3 linked regions of the Lytechinus pictus genome follow. The protein of the gene in region 2 purifies or fractionates together with the protein of the main gene of each other region. This does not show direct contact. Links are inferred from orthologs where the notes say so. Each region holds a gene or a part of one and is shown on either strand. Other genes may lie near its edges.

The links. Proteins that work in one complex are often made in the same cells at the same time.
Region 1: the proteins of signal recognition particle receptor subunit beta-like (region 2) and signal recognition particle receptor subunit alpha-like purify together in Homo sapiens (affinity purification with mass spectrometry; 6 studies listed by BioGRID and IntAct, counting the BioPlex papers as one, with this or other methods). This does not show direct contact. The link is inferred for Lytechinus pictus from reciprocal best matches to the Homo sapiens genes SRPRB and SRPRA.
Region 3: the proteins of signal recognition particle receptor subunit beta-like (region 2) and E3 ubiquitin-protein ligase RNF185-like purify together in Homo sapiens (affinity purification with mass spectrometry; 3 studies listed by BioGRID and IntAct, with this or other methods). This does not show direct contact. The link is inferred for Lytechinus pictus from reciprocal best matches to the Homo sapiens genes SRPRB and RNF185.

The regions. Positions count from the first base shown.
Region 1 is NC_087252.1:13,678,151-13,685,053, reverse strand, and holds the start of signal recognition particle receptor subunit alpha-like, read left to right. Parts: upstream 1-3,890; 5' UTR 3,891-3,939; coding exon 3,940-4,056; intron 4,057-6,903. UniProt on the Homo sapiens protein: Component of the signal recognition particle (SRP) complex receptor (SR). Ensures, in conjunction with the SRP complex, the correct targeting of the nascent secretory proteins to the endoplasmic reticulum membrane system.
Region 2 is NC_087258.1:10,463,041-10,470,513, reverse strand, and holds the start of signal recognition particle receptor subunit beta-like, read left to right. Parts: upstream 1-4,451; 5' UTR 4,452-4,502; coding exon 4,503-4,650; intron 4,651-7,473. Other genes in the region: uncharacterized protein LOC129276264, read left to right, coding at 191-249, 746-851. UniProt on the Homo sapiens protein: Component of the signal recognition particle (SRP) complex receptor (SR). Ensures, in conjunction with the SRP complex, the correct targeting of the nascent secretory proteins to the endoplasmic reticulum membrane system.
Region 3 is NC_087246.1:35,946,212-35,953,090, forward strand, and holds the start of E3 ubiquitin-protein ligase RNF185-like, read left to right. Parts: upstream 1-3,866; 5' UTR 3,867-3,958; intron 3,959-6,879. UniProt on the Homo sapiens protein: E3 ubiquitin-protein ligase that regulates selective mitochondrial autophagy by mediating 'Lys-63'-linked polyubiquitination of BNIP1.

The DNA of each region.
Region 1 (6,903 bases), on a different chromosome or scaffold from region 2:
GCAGATTATTCTTGTCCGGCGCCGATTTAGATTAAGGTGGCGCTGATTATTCTTGATTGGCGCCAGTTATATGCAGGCAGCGATTATTTTTAACCGGCGAAGTTGTTGGGAAAAGGGTATATAGGTAAAAGAAAAGATAAGGAAGATGATATGATTGTGCTTTGCTGGGGGATAGTCTTTCCTTACTGTTGCTAATATTATATCAGTGTATAATTTTTTAAGCGGCGCCTTTTCTTTTCTTTCCTTTATTTTTATTTTTTCAAGCAGCGCCTTTTCTCTTTTTTACTTTTATTTTTTTGAGCGGCGCCTTCGGCGCCGCTCAAATATTAGGGGGGGGGGGCGCGCGCCCCCTGCGCCACCCCCCTGGATCCGCCACTGTGAACCTTATAGTAATTGTTTAAACAGTATAAACAAGTGTTTAAATCTTAAGCAACAAAGTTTAATTTTCAATATCTAATCTTCATTAAATTAAACATGATTGTCTAAACGGTTAAACAAATACTGTAAGGTTCATATAGTAAACAGCGTTGTATAAAAATATTAAACAGCGTTTTTACTGTAAAGCATGATATAAAGGCGACCGTGAAGATAATAAGTCCAAATCACACCTTGGCGATTGGTCCACGTCATTTTGGAACAAATCGCATTTTGCTAATTAAATCGTAGCCAATCGTATGATTGCTATGATCGTCATTACGACAAAATATTGATATGTTTTATTCCAATAAGGATGAAAGCATAGTCACAGAGTTGAAGATAGGTATTCGTACGATGATTTAAAACATCACATAGTAAGATATTCCATGTCCTCAATATTAGCATAACATATATTCTACTACCTTTTATTCCAAAATCGGGTCTAAGTCAGACCACTCCTAACTGTACGTTTTAAAAAGTGATGAAACTGGACTCAAATTTTTTTTTAGCAGTACCGGCGGTGATTCTGACGTTATAGGAGGTGGATTCTATGGTGTTCGATCCTCGTCCTAATTTACATGATATGGGGGGATGTATGAATGGGTGTCAGTGCATGCAGAAGATTGTCACGGGGGCGCGCAACAATAGATGCCCCCCAGCGTAATATCCTCTGTGATGCATAACTCTCAGTGCTATCCATCGATTAATGCCCATTGTTTTTGTATGGACACGCAAGAGCTCGTATGAGCTCTTAAAGGGGGGGGGGGGGGGTGGGGCCACTGCCATTAAACAGAGGACAGCATCCGCGACAAAGAAACGCGGAAAACGACAGTGCACGGCGTAACAGGCGGGGGGGGGGGGGCGTCTGGTGGATTTCACCGGGAAAATATACAGAAGGAAAAAAGGAGAAAAGGGAGAAATGAAATTAAGAAAGAACAGAAAGAAAGACAGAAAGAAAGTGAGAAAGAAAGGAAGGAAGACAAAGAAAGGGAGAAAGAAAGAAAACAAAGAAGGGGAGTGAGGGAAAGCAAAGGAGGAAAGGATTGAAAGGGAAAGGGAAAAAGTGAAAAGAAAACTAAAACATAAAAAAGGGAAAACGCAAGCAAAGCGGGAAAAGGAAGGAAATAAAAACATGCGAGAAAGAACAAATCATCCCTAATTCTATAATGTTAGCAAGTTATAGTAAGAAAAGGAATTAAAAGATGAAAAAATGGCACGGAAAAGAATGGTGGGAAAGGGAAAGGAATAGGCAAATAAAAGCGGGCAATGAAAGTAGAATGGAATGAGCCAAAATGTAAATTGGAGAAAGAAGAAAAGGGAAAAGAAACAAAAAGGAAAAAAATAATATCAAGAACGGGCTAGTGAGGATTGGAAATAAAGAACGGGAAGAGAGATTTATCTGTCACATAATCAAAATTTCATTTTAAAATGGCAATTTTTTTCTGGCGTGTTTCGCTCGCTGGCGACTTTTTTTTAAATACAAATTTACCAAATTTTTTATGTTGTGCCCCCTCAAAATATTTGCTTTATTAGATAACTGCGTCGAAGAAATGTGTTGTGCAAAAACTATACCTGCCATTTGATTAAAAATAGCGACCATCTGTAAAATTTAAAATGGCTTAATATCAAAAGGTTCCAGGAACTCCGCCCCAGACCCCACCCCTATAGCACTGGCGTAAAGCCATGGCCCCAAAGAGTTCTACAACCAAAAATGAAGAATGATCATATTTTCTGAAGATGTCAAAAACTAAAACTTAGATTCTCACCCTCACGATTTTTTTTTCTCGCTCGCTTTGCTCGCCCTGGACAGTTGTGCCCCCTCTTTCTTTAAACTCAACATGCTATCTGCTGAATAGAGCATTGGCGCCCTATATAATGCTCGCAAAGACAACCATAGAAAAAAATCCTGTTCCGACGATAGTGTCCAGACCAAGAATAATAATAAAAAAATAAAGGCAAGAGAGAAGGGTGAAACATTGTACAATTTTCTGAATATTAGGTCAAAATCTATAGCAAAATTAGATTTTGTAATAACAATTCGCCCGAGAAAAAAAAACATATTACGGTTCACCCTTTTCCCAACCATCCGTATCATCTATTAGTCTGCAGGTACAGACACTGATTGAAACTTTGATCAGCAAGTGGGTCTACACACAAAGACTAGCACATACGAAACTTAAGGCCACCGCACACCTTACGACTGGTCTGCGACCCGATTTCAGAATAAAATGTAATAGAATTTGATGCTAATATTGAGACTTGGAATATCTTACTGTGTAATGTTCGAAATCATCATACGAATACCTATGATCAAATTTGTGACTATGCTATCATCCTTCTTAGAATAAAAGCGAATTTAATATCTAGTCGTAATGACGTCATAGCAGTCTTACGATTGGCTACGATTTGAACCTAATTTGGTATTTACTCCAAAATAAGGGCTTGCAATCTTTCAAAATTGTTGTAATATTATTATTTCAATTAATTTCAACCTCAAATAAAATGATATGTTCCATTCACATCTTCAGAAAATGAGCAAAATGCGATTTGTTCCTAAATCGGGTCGCAGACCAGTCGTAAGGTGTGCGGTCGCCTTTAAGAGGGCCTTCAGTAGGCTTAGGAGCTGCGGAACGTATTATCGTTGGGGGGGGGGGGGGCAAAGCCAAAAAGGGGCACTCATATAGGGAATTTTGGAGCAAACGGATATTTTCACCATGAGATTATCATCTGCATGCGTGCAGTTGTGTGTTTTGGAGTAGTTGAGAAAAGCCTTTTTTAAAGTGATTTCTGATTATGCCTTTATTTTCCGCGATAAAGTGTAGCGAGCAAGCGGTTTGGAAAAAATCTGAAGTTAGTACATGTATTATAACTCAAGAGCATCCCTGGGTGATGTTGCGAGCGTGAAACGCGAAAATTAACCAGTCCGAATAGTTTTGGTAATCATGAAAAAGATGTGTATGTAACTAAAGAATTAAGGCCAGCGCGAACTGAAATTTTGAATGCTGACCAGAAAAGGACCTTTTATAAGGACTGCATATAGTTACTCATAAATAGGGTACATATCTTACCAATCGAATAATGCGAGCGCAAAGGGCAAGCTGAAAATTTGTGATATTTGAACATGAAAACCGGAAATTCTAAGCATTTTTGTAACCATGAACAGGATGAGAACCTTACTTAACAGTAATTGAGCACGTTGGCACATTTCATTTAAAAAAGATGCATTTTCCATTAAAGGCATTTTTTCTACGGGTATTTTTTTTTTTTTTTTTTTTTTTTTTTTTGGGGGGGGGGGGGCTGCCCCCAGTTCCGCTGCCTCTGAATAGGCTGAGCACTCATCTATCGGTTGTAGCACAATCAAATCAATGTACTACGTATAAAACAAAAACAATGTACCAACTTTATTTTGCTTGCTTGTTGCATGGATCGAGGGTACCGTAATATTGACTGCATTAAAAAAAAGTGACAAGTTCAGTCAGATTGCGTGTAAATCGACAACGGCGAGGGCCGGAAAGTGACAATATGTTAGACCTTTTCACGATTTTTAGCAAAGGAGGGATTGTTCTTTGGTGTTTCCAAGGGACGTGTCAAGCCTTTGGAGCGCCCGTGAATTCGCTGATTAAAAGTGTAATTCTTCAGGTGGGGAAATTTAGATTTATGTCTATAGTATTTCGCAATAGCTTTCGCAATCGCGCAGTGTTGGCAAATCCGATCTAGGCCTAGTCGTAGCCGTATCTCCCCCCGGACCCGTCGGGCGTAAGGGCCCCGATCCCCCGTCTGACTTTAGTTTGAGCTATAACAGTGCAGTGCGTATTACACAACAAAAAAAAAACGGGACGGTTTATAAAAAAATGTTGTTTCAAATTATGATATCGATATAGGCTTAACTGCAGAATACCCCGCACATTTCATTACCTCAACGTTGGCGAGCCAACGTCACGACCTACGATGTGAAGAATCAGAATCAATCTCGACGTGATCGATCCTGAAGATTCGTTGTCTTGTCAGTTTTTACGATACGACCCGTACCGGTACTGTACTTCCGAGCCATACGAATACACGCGCGCATGCTTGTACTCTCGCGCGCATACCGTTGGCGAGCCAACGACCTACGATGTTCCTACTATGTGCATAGGGTTAGGGTTAGGTTAGGGTTAGGGTTAGGGTTAGGGTTAGGGTTAGGGTTAGGGTTAGGGTTAGTAGCATGCCAAATTCACAACGTTGGCATCGTTGGCTCGTTGGTAGCATGCCAATCTAACAACGTTGGCATCGTTGGTTCGTTGTCAGCAAGCCAATACAAGTCACAACGTTGGCATCGTTGGCTCGTTGGTAGCATGCCAAAGTCACAACGTTGGCATCGTTGGCTCGTTGGTAGCATGCCATGCCAAAGTCACAACGTGGCATCGTTGGCTCGTTGGCAGCAGGCCAAACTCACATCGTTGGCATCGTTGGCTCGATGGCAGCATGCCAAACTTACAACGTTGGCATCGTTGGCTCGTTGGCAGCAGGCCAAACTCACATCGTTGGCATCGTCGGCTCGTTGGTAGCATGTCAAACTCACAACGTTGGCATCGTTGGCTCGTTGGTAGCATGCCAAACTCACAACGTTGGCATCGTTGGCTCGTTGGTAGCATGCCAATCTTACAACATTGGCATCGTTGGCTCGTTGGCAGCATGCCAAACTCACAACGTTGGCATCGTTGGCTCGTTGGTAGCATGCCAATCTTACAACATTGGCATCGTTGGCTCGTTGGTAGCATATGCCAAACTCACAACGTTGACATCGTTGGCTCGTTGGCAGCAAGCCAATACAAGTCACAACGTTGGCATCGTCGGCTCGTTGGCAGCATGCCAAACTCACAACGTTGGCATCGTTGGCTCGTTGGAAGCATGCCAATCTCACAACGTTGGCATCGTTGGTTCGTTGGCAGCAAGCCAATGCAACTCACAACGTTGGCATCGTCGGCTCGTTGGCAGCATGCCAAACTCACATCGTTGGCATCGTTGGCAGCAAGCCAACGCAAGTCAAAACGTTGGCATCGTTGGCTCGTTGGTAGCAAGCCAACGCAAGTCAAAACGTTGGCATCGTTGGCTCGTTGGTAGCATGTCAAACTCACAACGTTGGCATCGTTGGCTCGTTGGAAGCATGCCAATCTCACAACGTTGGCACCGTTGGATCGTTGGCAGCAAGCCAATGCAACTCACAACGTTGGCATCGTTGGCTCGTTGGCAGCATGCCAAACTCACAACGTTGGCTCGTTGACAGCATGCCAAACTCACATCGTTGACATCGTTGGCTCGTTGGTAGCAAGCCAACGCAAGTCAAAACGTTGGCATCGTTGGCTCGTTGGTAGCATGCCAATCTCACAACGTTGGCATCGTTGGCTCGTTGGCGGCATGCCCTATGCAAAAATCGCGTAATCAATCGTTGGCTTGACGTAAACAAGTTCGAATTTTAGTCACAACTCGGCTTTGTTGCAACATCCTTTCATCACATCGTAGGTCGTTGGTCGATTCAAACATCCATGCTCTCGTCGTGCGGGGTATTCTGCAGTTGTTCCTCGATATATTTGATGTTAATAGATGCTCTCAAAAGTAAAATCTTAATATTCTTATCACTATCAGTATCACTCGGACAGTAGAGGTGCACGGCCAATATTATTGGACTCTTTGGAGACTGTCTCCAACGTGGGAGATTATCTCCAATATCAAAGACTTTTGTTAGTTTTGTAAAGAATTTGGGTATCCAATTTCAGAGACAGTCTCCAGTTTTGGAGTCCAATTTCCTTTGTTTACATTTGCTACAAAAGGATTACCTTGGCGGCAAATAAAAATGTGATAAGCAGATTCCTCATGAAAAATTACCCCTTTTCACCGTCTACTTTAAAAATCCACCGTCTACTTCTGTTTTGATAAGGATTTTTGTTGTCATCCACACACAAAACAAATGGGCTTCTGACCTCAGTGAGACAAAATTTTTGATGGAAAAAATTACACTTTTGTTGGTGTTTCTTTTACTCTTTTGCAAAGCAAGTCTCCAATATGGGAGACAATCTCCCATATTGGAGAGAATCTCCCATATTGGCCGTGCGCCTCTACTGATAGATGCTCTCAAATCTTTAGTTTGACTTTGAAATGCCATTTTAAAAAATAAATTTTGTTCATGCTTTGGCTAGTTTGGCTTTGCCTTGGCTTTTACTTAGTTAAACTTTAAACTTAAAGGGGAATCCAACCCAAATAAAAACTTGTTTTTTTATAAGAAAAAGAAAAATCAGGTAAGTTGATAGGTGAAAGTTTGAACAATATTGGACAAATAACAAGAAAGCTATGAATTTTTAAAAGTTGTAAATATTGGTAATCACTAAACTCATGGAGACTTCAAATTGGCCGCATATGGGATGTCATAGTGATGTAAGGCAAGGACTACTCTTCCATGTACTCCAATACATATTATGGCTAAAATGTCATTTTTCCCAAAAGTTTTAT
Region 2 (7,473 bases):
TCAAGTCTCGTTACTATAGAGAGAGTGAAAGAAGGAAAGAAAGGACAGATAAAATACCTCCTGTACAAAGCAACAAATGTGTTACAGTGGTCTTATACATGTAATTGATTCCTCTTTGATATGAATAAACCTTATTGACATAATAATCCATTATTCTGTTTATAATCCATGGTTTTGTCTTCTCTTTCAGAAACAAGTCACCATAATGACAATCGTTTGTGCCATTCTTCAAATGTTAGCCCTAATTTGGTGAGTTTTTTAATGGAGTTCCCATGATTAAACTTATTAGTATGAAGTCTGGATTGAACTTCTAAGAGAAAATGTGCAAAAAATATTGAGTTGTTGTGACAATAACTCATTCTTGATCAATTATAATGACAATTTTCATCATTATAAAGCAAATTTCACAACTCTTAATGCAATATCAAATCATTTGAGACATAAATCCTTTTCAATGTTGGAGAAAACTTGTATAAAATCTATAGTATAAAAAGCCAAGTTTTGTGGAGGTGTCGTGGCTGAGTGCAGCCTGGCTGAGTGGTCTAATGACTAGAAACATGAAAGTCTGGGGTTCCATCCATTTAATCAACAGTGCTCTTTTATCCTACATCCGAATAAATGGAAATGCTATTCTTGGTAACAATGCGTACTCTTTAAAAAAAAAAGAAAAAAAATGAAGATGATTTGAAAGTAGCTTTATGAGACGCCCCCTGGATAAAAGTATTTCTAATTCTTTGATTCACAGGTATGTGATGAGCTACATCCCCGGTGGTCAGACTGGACTCAAGTTTTTCACCAAAGTGTTCACCTCTTTAGCAGGGAAAGCAGTATCAAGTTCATTACCGGTCTGATCAAGCAAAGATTCAAGATGAGAGAAACCACTCTAAAATAGAGATACACCCAATCTCCCGTGACCACTCGGATGAGTGTGAGGGGCCTCTGTCCTTGAGTGGTTGGCCATGAGGAAGTCAAGGACCAGGGGCCCGTTGCAGAAAGAGTTGCGTTGAAACGCAAGCCAAAAAATCAATCGCAAGTCCCAAATGCGCTTTGTTGATTGGTTGAAAATCAAGTTGCGCATGATTGTTAGAGTTGCGATTGATTGCAACTCTTTCTGCAACGGGCCCCTGGTCATGCTATACGTTTCACAAGACAACTCAAATGTTGTACCTCTCCATCCGTTTAAGAGGTTTTAAACATTCATGCAGTTGGCATGACAAGTTTCGGATGCAAAGAGATCGGGGGAAATGCCTCCAATAAAGGGACATCTCCGTGTGATGGTGCTACTTGGAGAATCTGATGATGAGATGATGACTTTCAAGCTTTATTTCTGACCTTTGCCCCAGAAGTATCTGTTGAAGAGGTTGTCGATGCTGGTAAAAATCAGACAAATATGTTTCTCTATGATTGAGAGTTTATTTGGTATTAAGAGGAAGAAAGAATAGTCACATTGATCGAGCCAGGCAAGCAATGAGGTGCACACCCTATTCATTCTTGTTATCATGTTTTATTTATGTACCAGTAGTCCACGGTTGGGCAATTCCATAAAATGATCAACCTTTTTGTACGTCCGACCCCCATTTTTCTCAAGTCTTGCTTCACTTTGTAAACTGACCAAGTCATGGTCCTTTGAAAACATTACAGACTGTCAAAAGAACAAGAAATCAGAGACAGAAAATTTCATGAAGTTCCCACATATAGGGGGTCAGACGTACATATTTTATGGAACTGCCCAGTTTTAAGTCCAGGGGCCCGTCTTACAAAGAGTTGCGATTGATCCGATCAATCACAACTATGGACGGCCCGCAACATCAACATGAATTATTCATGTTTGTTCAAAATATTTTCTAACTATGATTTATATTCTTGCATTCATTGTTTTCTTGAAAATTCACTGTGCTTCTCTTTGTTTACAAAGGACATTGTGCAAATTTCCTGTAGAAAAAATTATGACACTGATGAATTTCCATAGAGTTGTGATTGATTGAATCAATCGTAACTCTTTGTAAGACAGGGCCCAGATTTGTCCCCATTGAATGGGGGTGGCCTGATTCACCCTTTCCCTGCTTACCCCTCCCTCCATTTTGCATGATGCACTGCTTCCTTCATCCTCAGCCCAACCCTCCTCTCTTCCGTCAATTGCTTTTTCCATTAATTCTTTGGCCATCCCCTCTTCCTCCAACCACCCATCTGTATTTCTTATTTATATGGTATTGTTTATGATTTGTTATTCAGAGCTTGTTTCAATTCACTATCAAACACAACTCAAAACTTGAAATGAAAATTGAAGATGCCTCATCTTCATAAGTTGATTTCTAGAAAGGAAATCTGCATCATGAGACACTGTATCAAAGCACCTCTTGATTGTAGGTTGTTTTTGTTTCTTTTATTCCGAAAATGTCTCAAATTTTACAATTATTATTTTTTTTATGGTTTATGTTTTATGTTTACTGTGCTCCTTCCTCATGCTGTGATGGTGAAGAAAATTATTTTACTTATTATTCCCAGACAGATATGAATATTTTGAGTGTCAAAGTAATTGGATAAATTGAAACTTCTAAACTTAAAAAGTTGTGTCGCAGTGGGCCATCCAGAGTTTAATCACAACTTTAAGACCAGAGTTTAAATTGAACCAGAGTGCAGAATATAGGCCTTTGGGGTTTAGGATAGTCTAAAATAAATAATTTTTTGCTTGTTGACAAAGGCAAATTTGTGAAGAAAGTGAGTAATCATATTTAATGTCACACTATTTCTTGAAATTGTTTATATGATGCATTAGTGAAACTGAAACCAAGCTGAAATATGATATTATGAATGTACCCATTTTCGTAAAGGGCTGCATGATGATAGCCCAATACTACTGTATGACAGTGAAAGTTCTATTTATGAATAATATTTTGGTTTGTAATTTGTGCAATGTTCAACATTTTGTGACACTGAAACTTCAAAGGGAAAATGGTATACAGTAGAAGTCTCTATCTCTGTTTGCCCCTGTAAAATTCAACAGAATTTCAGTTTAGACTCCAGGGCCCGTTGCATAAAAATTACCATATCATGGTAACTTTTCCATGCAATGGTAACTTGCATTGAATCCTTGATTTTGATTGGCTGTTGAGCATTGTTACCATGGTAGTTACAATTGGATGGCAAAGTTGGACCATAATAGTAACTTTTATGCAACGGGGCCCTTGGGGTATCTTTCAATAAAAAAGAAAAGCAAATTAAAATCATTATCACATTTTATGATTATGTGGTACATGTTTGATGTGTACATGATCAAAATGCCTGTCCTTGACTGTGGCTGTATATATTTGGCAAGTAAAATTGAATATTAAAACTTTTATATGGTAATTTAATGTTATAAATACAATATATCTTTTACAGTGTTGTTGATTTTCCTTTGAGTTTTCAAATTCCTTTTTTTCTGAGAAAAGCCTTAACATTTAACAAGGTGTTTGGTGTGTGTCTGTTGGGGGGCATCAGGGAGTCCCAATTTAAATGTTAATGTTGTATGAAGATACTATATCAACACTCTTGTAGTGACATTTTCCTATAATTTGATGAAAATTATTTTCTTGTGAAAAGCAAAAAAAAAATATATAAAAAAACACAAACCAAATAGAGCCTTAACAAAACAAAAAGAATGAAGGAATAAAGAGAAGGAATAAATAAAACTTGGACTAAAAATAAAAGTAAGAATTGACTAAAGGAAGAGAAACAAAGAAATTAAGTTTGAAATGAAGAAAAAATGTGAGAACAAAGAAGGCAAAAGGAGTACTGCTGCTATTGATATATTTCACAAATTATATAAGAAAGTAACCCAATCAGATTTAACTCTGGTTTTCATTGGGGCCCTTTAAGATTGTTTGTAATAGTCTACCCTATTATTAATTTATTAGAGTTTATTTTTTCAGACCCATGGAAAGTTTTTTTTTCCTGAATGATAGAAGTAATTCTTGTTAAAAACAAGTGGAAAGAGAGAGGGAGAGAAAAAAAAGAAAGAAAGAATGAAAGAAAGAAAGGAAAGAAAAAGAAAAGTAAGTAGAAAGAAAAAAAGAAGGGAATCCGGAATCAGCAGAGATAGATATGAATGGAGCTATAATGAGACGCAAGGGTTTTTATTGAAGGTCAAGAGGGAAGCAAAGTAAGAGAAGGGGGAGAACAAAATAAAAGGAGAGAGAAAGGCAAATATAAGCTGACCACTAGAGGGCAGTATTCTGTAAAAATGTCGGCTGCAAGCGGTGTTGACGTGTTGCAAGGGTATTTTGAAAATGTCAAATCGGAGGTTTCAAAGCAAGATCCCATCATTTTGGGTGTTGCAGTCGCAATTATTGTCATTCTTTTCACCATGGGTAAGTTTGAGAGGATGAGTTGAATTTATTAATGAGTTGTGGGTAAATTTCAATTCGCCTTCTCGACATATGCCAGGTCATGTGCTCCGGTGGCTATTTGTTATGCATGTGTTGTCGTGTGCACAGATCGAGTAATGAGCTTGTGTAAATTGTATGATGAGCGACGGTGTTGGAGAGCGGGTTTACTTTCGGAGATCCTGCTGTACCCTGTTGCCTGTTGGGCAGAAGGGCGCTAATAATGCAGTTTCGCAAGGGCCGATTTCGAGCAAATTTCCTCACCAAAAATTGTTCACAAATGTCAGTAAGTCGAGGTAGCAGCAATGCCACGGCCACGGCCACCCACACTGGCCGCGGCGCGCGGAACACTAACTCTCGCGTCCAACATTAACAACACAAAAAGTAGAGGCGCACGGCCAATATGGGAGACTCTCTCCAATAGGGGAGACAATCTCCCACATTGGAGACCTGCTTTGCAAAAGGACAAAAGAAACAACACCAACAAAAGCATGATTTTTTCTAGACCAAAAGCTTCGGTCTCTGTTATGTTGGTTGTTCAGCTGAACTCCGTTGGCTTCACTCACCAAATACAGAGACCGAAGTTCTAGCGCGATCTCTACAGGGGACTCAATGGCCATATGTTTATGTACTTAAGATCGGATAAAAAGGGGAAGTGAATTTGCGCGACAGCTGCGGTAAGTCACTGTTTTTGTTCCTTTTAACTTGATTTTTCTCCGTTTTTTGGCAATTAATGCCAAGAGGGAATATTAATTTGCATTTTGGTCGCGTTAATTTTCAAAATTTTTATTCATTAAAGACAAAAATTGAAGAGCCCCGACGGGGGGATTTTGCATTGCAAGTCCCCTAATGGTGGCTGCACGCTAGCGAGCCGTCTGTGTACGAGGAGAAAAAAAAAAAAAAAAAAAAATGTTAAAAAACTCCTCGAAACAGACGGCTGCCAGCTGTCTAGATTTTTTCCACCCAAAATTTTGTCTCACTGAGGTCAGAAGCCCATTTGTTTTGTGTGTGATTGACAACAAAAATCCTTATCAAAACAAAAGTAGACGGTGAATTTTTAAAGTAGATGGTGAAAAGGGGTAATTTTTCATGAGGAATCTGCTTATCACATTTTTATTTGCCGCCAAGGTTATCCTTTTGCAGCAAATGTAAACAAAGGAAATTGGACTCCAAAACTGGAGACTGTCTCTGAAATTGGATACCCAAATTCTTTACAAAAGTCTCTGATATTGAAGATAATCTCCCACATTGGAGACAGTCTCCAATATTGGCCGTACGCCTCTACTGACAAAAATTCCCAACAACGACAACTCACAACTTATTAAACCCAGGCCAGGGAGCTCCGGCCTGTGAAGTGGGCCGGAGCCCAGGACTCGTCCTTGTAATACTAGGCAGACATGCATGGGTACTCTCCAAAATGGGGTAGAATGGGGTCTCTAGTCTAGACTAAAACTATCTATATCACCAAATAAAAGGGGAAAAAATAAATTATGCACTAACCTCGATTATAATGGATGGAGGTCTATCGTGACACAGAATCCTGACATCAAGGCACCAACTGGACCCTCAAAAAAAAGAAAAGTTAGACCTCCATGTCGCGTTCGTCACGCGGTAGCGATCGGCCATTATGTTTTCAATTTTGAAAGAAGGAGAACGAACAAGACAGAAATTTTCCTTTTTTTGAGGGTCAAGTTTGTTCCTCTGTGTCCCTGGGTTACCCACAACTGAGCCCTCTCTAGTCTATATGTTAATTCTGGCCTTCATTTAATTCAAGGCTAAATGCGATGTGTAACACACAATTGAAATAATACAGAAGAAAAACTTACAATTGTCACTATTTCAATGTTAATTCGTTGAACCATGGTCATTTTCAGTAAAAAAAACCCCTAGGTTTTCTATGACGTATATTGGGCATATCGTCACGCTGCAGAACATGTTTATGGTAAAATGAAAACATGGCTTTAACTTCCGGGTTTGCAGGGTCAGCTACAATCATGCATTGCAAGGGAAGTAGACTGTGATATCGGCTGCAAGATGGCTTCAAACGAAGCTAAGATGACAAACTTTAATTATTTTTTCCCCAAAATTCTATTTTTTCCCCTATGATTTTCATTGAAATATTAAACTGAAAATATGAGTAATTTTAGGCTAAATTTGAGGTATCTTTGAGGGCTTACAGCTCGAAACCGACCCCCTCAGAACATATTAAGAACCCTGTTGAACAACTGAGTAACTTGCAACGTTCTCTCTCGATTGCTACCAAACTTGGGGCCAATAAGTATGGCGCTGAGAAGCGCGAAAGACAATATTGAAGCCATGTCAAAAGTTTTTAGATTAATTTGCGATCGTTGGAAGGGTAAATGCACCCTCTCTGGCAGAAAGGCAAAATGTACTTAATCCCACGAAACATAATTTACGGGGACGTCTTTCAGGATATTTCGCCTGAGTGTATCAGTTTTAAAGATATATTTAACATTTGACAACTCTTTCCTTTAAAAATGATTTTATTGTAATATTTAACCATTGGACATGATTTGATGATGATGATGTATTGTTCGCAATGAATGAGGAATGGATTGTGAGAATAGAAGGGGGGGGGGGTCAAATTGCATTACCCCCTTTATTTATGTTTTTCCCTGGGCCAGGGGTTAAAACATATTTGGAAAGTAGAATAGATCTGTATAGATCTGTGTTTTTATAATAATGGATTCAGGGGGCAAGGCCTCCATATATATATTTTTTTTTGGGGGGGCAGGGAAGGTGGCTCATGATCCAAGCAATTAAAAAAAAAATTGGGGATGCGCTACTTACATGCTGAATTTGCAATATCTGTCACAATTGTGGGGGCTTGCTTTCGTAGGTATGTGGGGAAGGGGGGGGGGGGGGGCTGATGTCAAAGTCAAGGATTGATTTAAGTTTAGAAAGTTTTGCGCGGATGTGGCTGTCTTTCCCTTTGTTTTTCTTTCTATATTATATTTTTAATCCTTTCAGTAAAAGGGAATTATGAATATACCAGTTAAAGTTATTTATAAAGATAATGTACATGTTGATATTGTTCAATAAATTCTTTGTTCTATTATTCTACTGGTTTCTTGATCTATATATATGA
Region 3 (6,879 bases), on a different chromosome or scaffold from region 2:
ATAATAATGTAAACTATATAAATACACGCTAAAGACGTATAAATTGGACAATATTTAAACATTACAGGAATGTAAATAAACATGTATTGCAATTACAACATAAAAAGGAATTGAAAACCAATAAATTACTCATACAGGCAAAGAATGAAGAAACGTCTGGAGAGAGATACAGCTAAAAGTTAAAGAATGAAAGAGACAAAAGCGAAATGAAAAAAAAATGGATAGAGAAATAGACAGAAATTGGACGAAGAAAAAAAAAGGAACGTAATTAGAAAAAGGATAATGGAAACAGAGGAGGAGAGAGAGGGAGAGTGCCAAAGTGCCAAAGGATTGATAAAATGCGTTACAACATGATATACACAGCTGCAATTCAAGTAATTTCATAAGAATAAAATTATTATAAATATAAAACCCGGCTTTGTGATGCATTTACGGCAGAGGCAATTAGAATCGACAATCTTAATTCAATGAACCATTTAGAAATAACATTCAAAAGTTTCGTAAGTGTGTCTGGGTTGAAAATGAATAAAGAAAAGATATATATAATCATGATAATGCTATCACTGGCGTACAGATGGGGGGCCTGGGGGGCTCTTCCCCCCAAAAAAATCACGACCAAGAAAAAAAAAAAGGAAAGAGAAAAGAGTGAAATGTGATATCATTTCCTAAAATTATTACAAAACCTTTCACAAAATTGTATTTTTTTTAATAAAAATGACAATTTTTTTGCTCGCTCGCAACTTTTTAATAATTTTACGCGATACGCCATATCTAGCCCCTCAATTTTTGTTTTGCTCATTACGCCACTAAATGCTATTTGGCAATGTTAATCAAGAAAAACCAGGGGCACTCCATTTCGGAAAATTAGTACCATTCATAAAATTATTAGGGGTATTTTTTAGCTTAACAGGTAAAAGAGAGTATGAACTATATGAAGAAGTTTTGAGCAAAATTAAAAACTCCCTCTCACGGTATGCTTGGGTAAATTGACCTTTGATTTTTTATGAAGAGAAAAAGACAAGGTTAAGAGAACTACAATGTTTCTTGATTTCAAATATGAGGAACTTAAAATGATGAATTTTTGTCTATATCACAGTTTTGGAATCAACAAATGAAATGGATTTGTATTGTTATTACTTCATTTTTCTCTGTAAATACGATATTCTAAAGTACAGTTAAAGCTGCATGTCTTTATCGCCGTTTTATTTACAGCTATTAAATACATGGTTGGAATCGTAACATCTGTAACAGTAATCTGTAATGAAGTCATTTTTAATAATAAATATATTGTTTTCGGGGCTTTCCATTCCATCATGCAGATCTAATATCGAAAGGTATTTATTCAGGTTAAAACATGTTGCAGATAAAGATGGTGAATTGAAAACGGATGCAATTTCAAAAGTAAAGGTCTCACTTCATCATATTCATGGAATATAATTATTACAGGTAATAATTATGCCTATATTTGAGAAAATTCCGCCCAGTTGGAAAAGGTAAATGCATTTCACGGAAGAAAAGAAAAAAGAGAAATAGATCTGGAAAAAATTTTATTCATTGTTTTGGGGAATTGAACTCGTCTTAAAAAAGATGGTAAAGAACTATTCTCAATTCTAAATTAGAAGTTAATCGGTTCAAAGAATAATTTAGTTTGTCTAAAGAGATATGCCTATTGAAAACACTTTCTCAGGCCGAGAAAATGTATTTTGAATAGTAAGCTGAGGGAATTTCAATTCAAAATGCTATGGGATTATTTACACGAATTGTGATTTATATTGATTTGGTCTTACTGATCTGCAGTTTTGTCAGATAGAAGTAGAAACCTGTTCACATTCGTTTGCTATGGGGGGGGGGGGGCATGTGAATACTGGTAAAGGTTTGAGAAAAATCCAACAAAGATTAAGGAAGTTATTAAAATTTAAGTTTTGGATATGTGACGTCATAAACGAGCATCTGTTATAAAATGCATGAATTTCAAATTTTTATTGGTTCATGATGACTTACTTCCCGGGCTTATTTTTGTTTTCTTTTTAGGAAGGGGTGTGAAATGATTTGCCTACAGATATACTAAATGTCACAATGAAAACTATTATCAATTTTCTGAGATAATGACATTTCATTATTTTTTCTTACCATTCGATATGTAGGAATGCTGATCGCATATTACGTTACAAATCAAATAATTAAAATTCTAATAAGTTTTCTATTCTTTGATGGATTTTTCTCAAACCTTCGGCAATGTTTTTAAGTATTTTTCTGCTAAAATTTTTTGCAATTATCTTTTTGTCAGGGTGAACTTCCCCCTTAACTTACTCATTTTTAAGAACTGGATTGGGAAGGAATATTTTTGGTGCACCCTTGGGTGATACCAGGAAGACGTATTATTGTGTAATATTGTTATTGAAATATATCCTATATTCAATCTAAAAAGAAAAATATACCTCCTTATATAACCACTGGAAGTGAAAGAAATTTTCGTAAGAAATAAATTTGAGGAAAAAAGGATATACGTCATTTTTAAACATGGGAGGCTTTTGATTCCGAATGAATGGCAGAGTTACTTTTTTTCCTTTTCTTCTTCTTCCTTTTCTTCTTCATTTATTTCTCTCCTTTTCTCTTCTCTCTCTCCCCTCAATGTATACGTTGTATAGCAGTGCAGATTCTAATGTTCAAGCGGGGGCTTGCCTGGGTCATTGTTTTTTTTTGGGGGGAGCGAGGCGCAGATATGGTGGGGCTGGGGAGGGTGGGATGGGATGGGCAAGGTGGTGTGGGGAAGGAGGGGGCCTGAGTGCGGGTTTTGGTTTTCTTTATTTTTTCTGTATTATATTTCTTAAGTTTCTTTCAGTGAATTGGAATAATGAATGGACCAGTTTAATTGATTTAAATCTATAGATTTGTGTACCTGTTATACTTTGTTATTGGTACTTTGATGTATTATTTATGAAGTTAATCGTCAGTTTATGTTTGTATTTCAGAGCTGGTTGTAAATGTCACTGAATGAATTGATTTAAAAGAAAAAAACACTTGGGGTGGGAGGTAGAACATCACTGTTTTTTATCATTGTTTTTTTTTCTCTTTCTTGTCATTTACATGTAATACATCACAGAAGCGGATCTAGAGGGGGGGTTGGGGGGGTTGCAACCCCCCAAAAAAAAATCCGGGGACCATTTTTTTAAATCTTATCTTTTTTTTTAAACTTGTAATTTTATTTTATTCTATTTCTATGTATTTATTTCATTTATTATTATTATTATTATTATTATTATTATTTCTTTTGGGGGGAGGGGGGGGTTGGGCGAACAAATGTTACATTGCAGGAAAATGCAACTTAATTTTACAAATTTTCATGGGGGTTAATTTGGCAACGACCTCTATACCAAAAAGAGTGGTGTTTTAGATGCAAGAAAACGCCATTTTCACACACAGATTTTCAAAAATTTTCCCTACTGTGGGAGGGGGACACCCCCCTCCCACACCCTCCCCCCTCGCTCGCTCCGCTCGCTTGGACTCGGTCGCTACGCTCCCTCGCATACCACCCCAACCCCCCCCCTTTATAAAAAGCTGGATCCGCCCCTGCATCATGTTAAAATTTTCATTTGTAATTGTTGAAACTGGGGTTGAAACGCATGTTGTCATCAGTATCCGGGTCAGTATTAATTTCCGGTATATTTGAAGTTCGATGTATATTTGTATAATCATATGGGATATGGATTTATTGCAAAATTTATAATCATGTTTCAATTGATTTTTCATGAAATGTAAATGTGTATTTTGATTTGAGAGAATACAATAAAAACATCCTTTAAAAAAAATTAAAAAAAACACTCGATTCTGCTCTCCAACATTAGACCTAAAGAGGGCGGTTTTCTAAAACACGTAATAGGCAGTGGGAGGATCAGCACAGAGGTTGATGCCTGATGTCGAAAATTTTCTTTTCCCCTGTAGATTTGCTAGAATTAAGGTAAGTTTTCAATTCACATTTCATTTTTGCATATATTGTAAAATGATATCATCAACGAGATAGAGCAATATATGTCTCAGGATAGTTATGTAAGCACGAAAAAGAATAGCAATAAAAGATGTGTGTGATGGGACTGATGAGCTGCTGTGCTAGTCGACGCGAGCGTTACCGAGAACGGTACGATACACTACTGGACCGGGAGAGCGTCGGCGGTGCAGTGCAGTGACGGGCATATAGGCCTAGACCAAAAGCTTCAGTCTCTGACTCAGCTTTGTACTGTAGATTTGGTTGTTCCGCTGAACTGCGTTGGCTTCTCGCCAGACTGAAGTATACTTGGCCCTAGATAGCTGGCAGCCGTCTGCTTCAAGGAGCTTTTTTAATAATTTCACACCCCTTCTTAACAAGGAAACAAAAATAAGTCATCACGAATAAAAAAAAAAATTGAAATTCATGCATTTTATAATATGGGACAGATGTAGCCTAGAAGGCTAGTAGCCACGTACGTGCATAGCGCCAACTTAATGTGTTCCGCCATCTTGATTGTTGGTTGCCGATAAAATGCGCATTTTCAGATTTTTTAACGCTCAGTTATTATCCATGACTGAAACATTGACCAATCAAAAACTAAGATTCTATAAGAAATATGAATATTCATATACGAAAGTATAAACATAGATAATTCAGTTTTATGTGAAATTTAAACCCAATACTTCAAAATATGGTTAGTTTTATGTCTCTAAAATGACCCTTAAAACCAGAATTTTATTACTAAAAAATAAAGGTTTTCCCAAGTTGCCATGGTAACGTGGTCTGAGATATAAAAGCTTAGCAAACACTTCATTTCAGTGATCGAGGATGTATTTGTTTACGTTATACGCAAGGCTCGACATTAGCGGTGGCCCGGGGCCACCAAAAATTCACCTCGGGCAACCATTATTGATAAAATGTTAAGTTTTGGTGGCCCGAATCGGGCAACCAATAATTTTCAAAGTAGCGCAATTTTTCTCCCAATTTTGCACGCATTTATCAACTTTCTACAGCTCAAATTGCAAGCCAGTTCGTCATGCGCCCTTTTTGTTGATCTACACACAAATACACACACACAAAGTTTGCATATTAGGCCTACAGCTATAGCATACAGTAGCTATTATCCAGCCAGACGCGCCGGCCGGCTGGCGTGAGCTTTGCATGAAGCCACTGCATACAGCTGTGCTCTAGATCTAGCTAGCTCAGCCTATTCAGACTCAGGGAGCTGCGATAAAAAATGTTGCAGCTGAGAAATCTTCCACAGAACTTTGAAAATCTCAGTCAAAGTCACATTTTACACCAATGAAATGCAATTCTACAGTCTATATTACGAAAATCTGGTGTATCCTGATTATTTGCAAGTATTAAGAAGAGGAATTATGACCTCTCTTTTGACTCAAAAAGACCGATTTCCACATGAATTAATACACATAAAACACATAGGCAATTACATCACAGTCCCACGTGTGCATTTGTATGTATGTTGATACTTGGTTTCTTTCGAAGCTGTGTATTTTCTAGCCAAAAACAAACAGACAGTTTCTTTCTTTCTTGTTTATAAATGACTTCTTAAACCACTCTTGAGAAAGTAAATACTTTGGGAAGGCATTTCATTGATATGAAATGTGATTTTTTCACCCAACATTTTGGCAAATATAGGGAAGGACTTTTCTCACACTTTTTTTCCAGATATAATTTTTGCCGTTTTCTTTTTTTTTTCCTTTCATTTTTTTTTGACAGTGGTTAAACCATTTATACACCTTCCCATTGAATATGCCTGATTAAAAAATATGTTTCTACTGAAAATAAAATAATACAAACTAAAGGATATAAAAATAAAAATGTGCCATTCCCATAAAGTAAGTGAAAATTATTTGCTTGGCTTTTAATTATATTCCAGTCAGAATAGACTGTTGCCACATCTGTTAAAAAATATATGTAATGGCTTCTTAATTTTCCCCTTTTCCCCATTTTTTTATTAACTTTGTTTTATTAATTTTTCTTTCATTTTCTTTTCTTTTTTCTCTCTAATTTTTTTATTTTCTTTTTTTCCCTGTTCTTTGTTTTTTCTTTCTTCATTTTCTTTCTTTTGTTTTATTTCACTAATTTCTTTTATTATTTTTGTTTTCTTTTTGTAATATACTTTTTGAAAATTATTTTCGTTTGTTTCCCCCTTTTATGCATTGTTCTAATTTTGCAGCATATTTTTCTGTGATTTTCTCCTTCTATAATATGCTGCAAAAGAGAAAACAGAAATAAACTGGATTTGGGGCATGCATATTCTAGGTTTTAGGATTCAAAGAGGAAGGAAGGAAAAACCATTGTTTTGTACATCTATCTGAATTTGCTATGCACTATTTATTTACTTTACCATTATCTCTATACAGAGATTTAAAAAAAGTCCACACAACCTGCGAACAATACAATTAATTTATTCTCTTTCAATCATTTCATTTTTACAACAATAGAAACGTTTATCAATTAGCAAAGTAAAATTACAGCAAACAAGGTTTACATGTATAAAGTAAAAGTAACATAGTGGTAGTGGCTGCAGAATTAATATTTCAGAAGTTTGTTTTATTCATTTTTAATGTTTTTCTTTATATTTTTCGGGCCACCAAACTTTAATATCGGGCCACCAAAAAAAAAATTTTGATGGTTTTGGTGGCCCGAACGGGCCACCACCAAAAAAAGTTAATGTGGAGCCTTGTTATACGTCTACATAAATTATAACATTTTTTCCAGACCATGGATGAACTTTCAAAAAGAGACATTTAAGGCAAGTTTTTACGATTTCCGGCAATTTTCTGACACAGGCACTTTGAAGAGGTAATTTTTACAGAATTAGAAGAAGACATCGTGGATTTTCCTAATTATCACGACGGATATGCAAC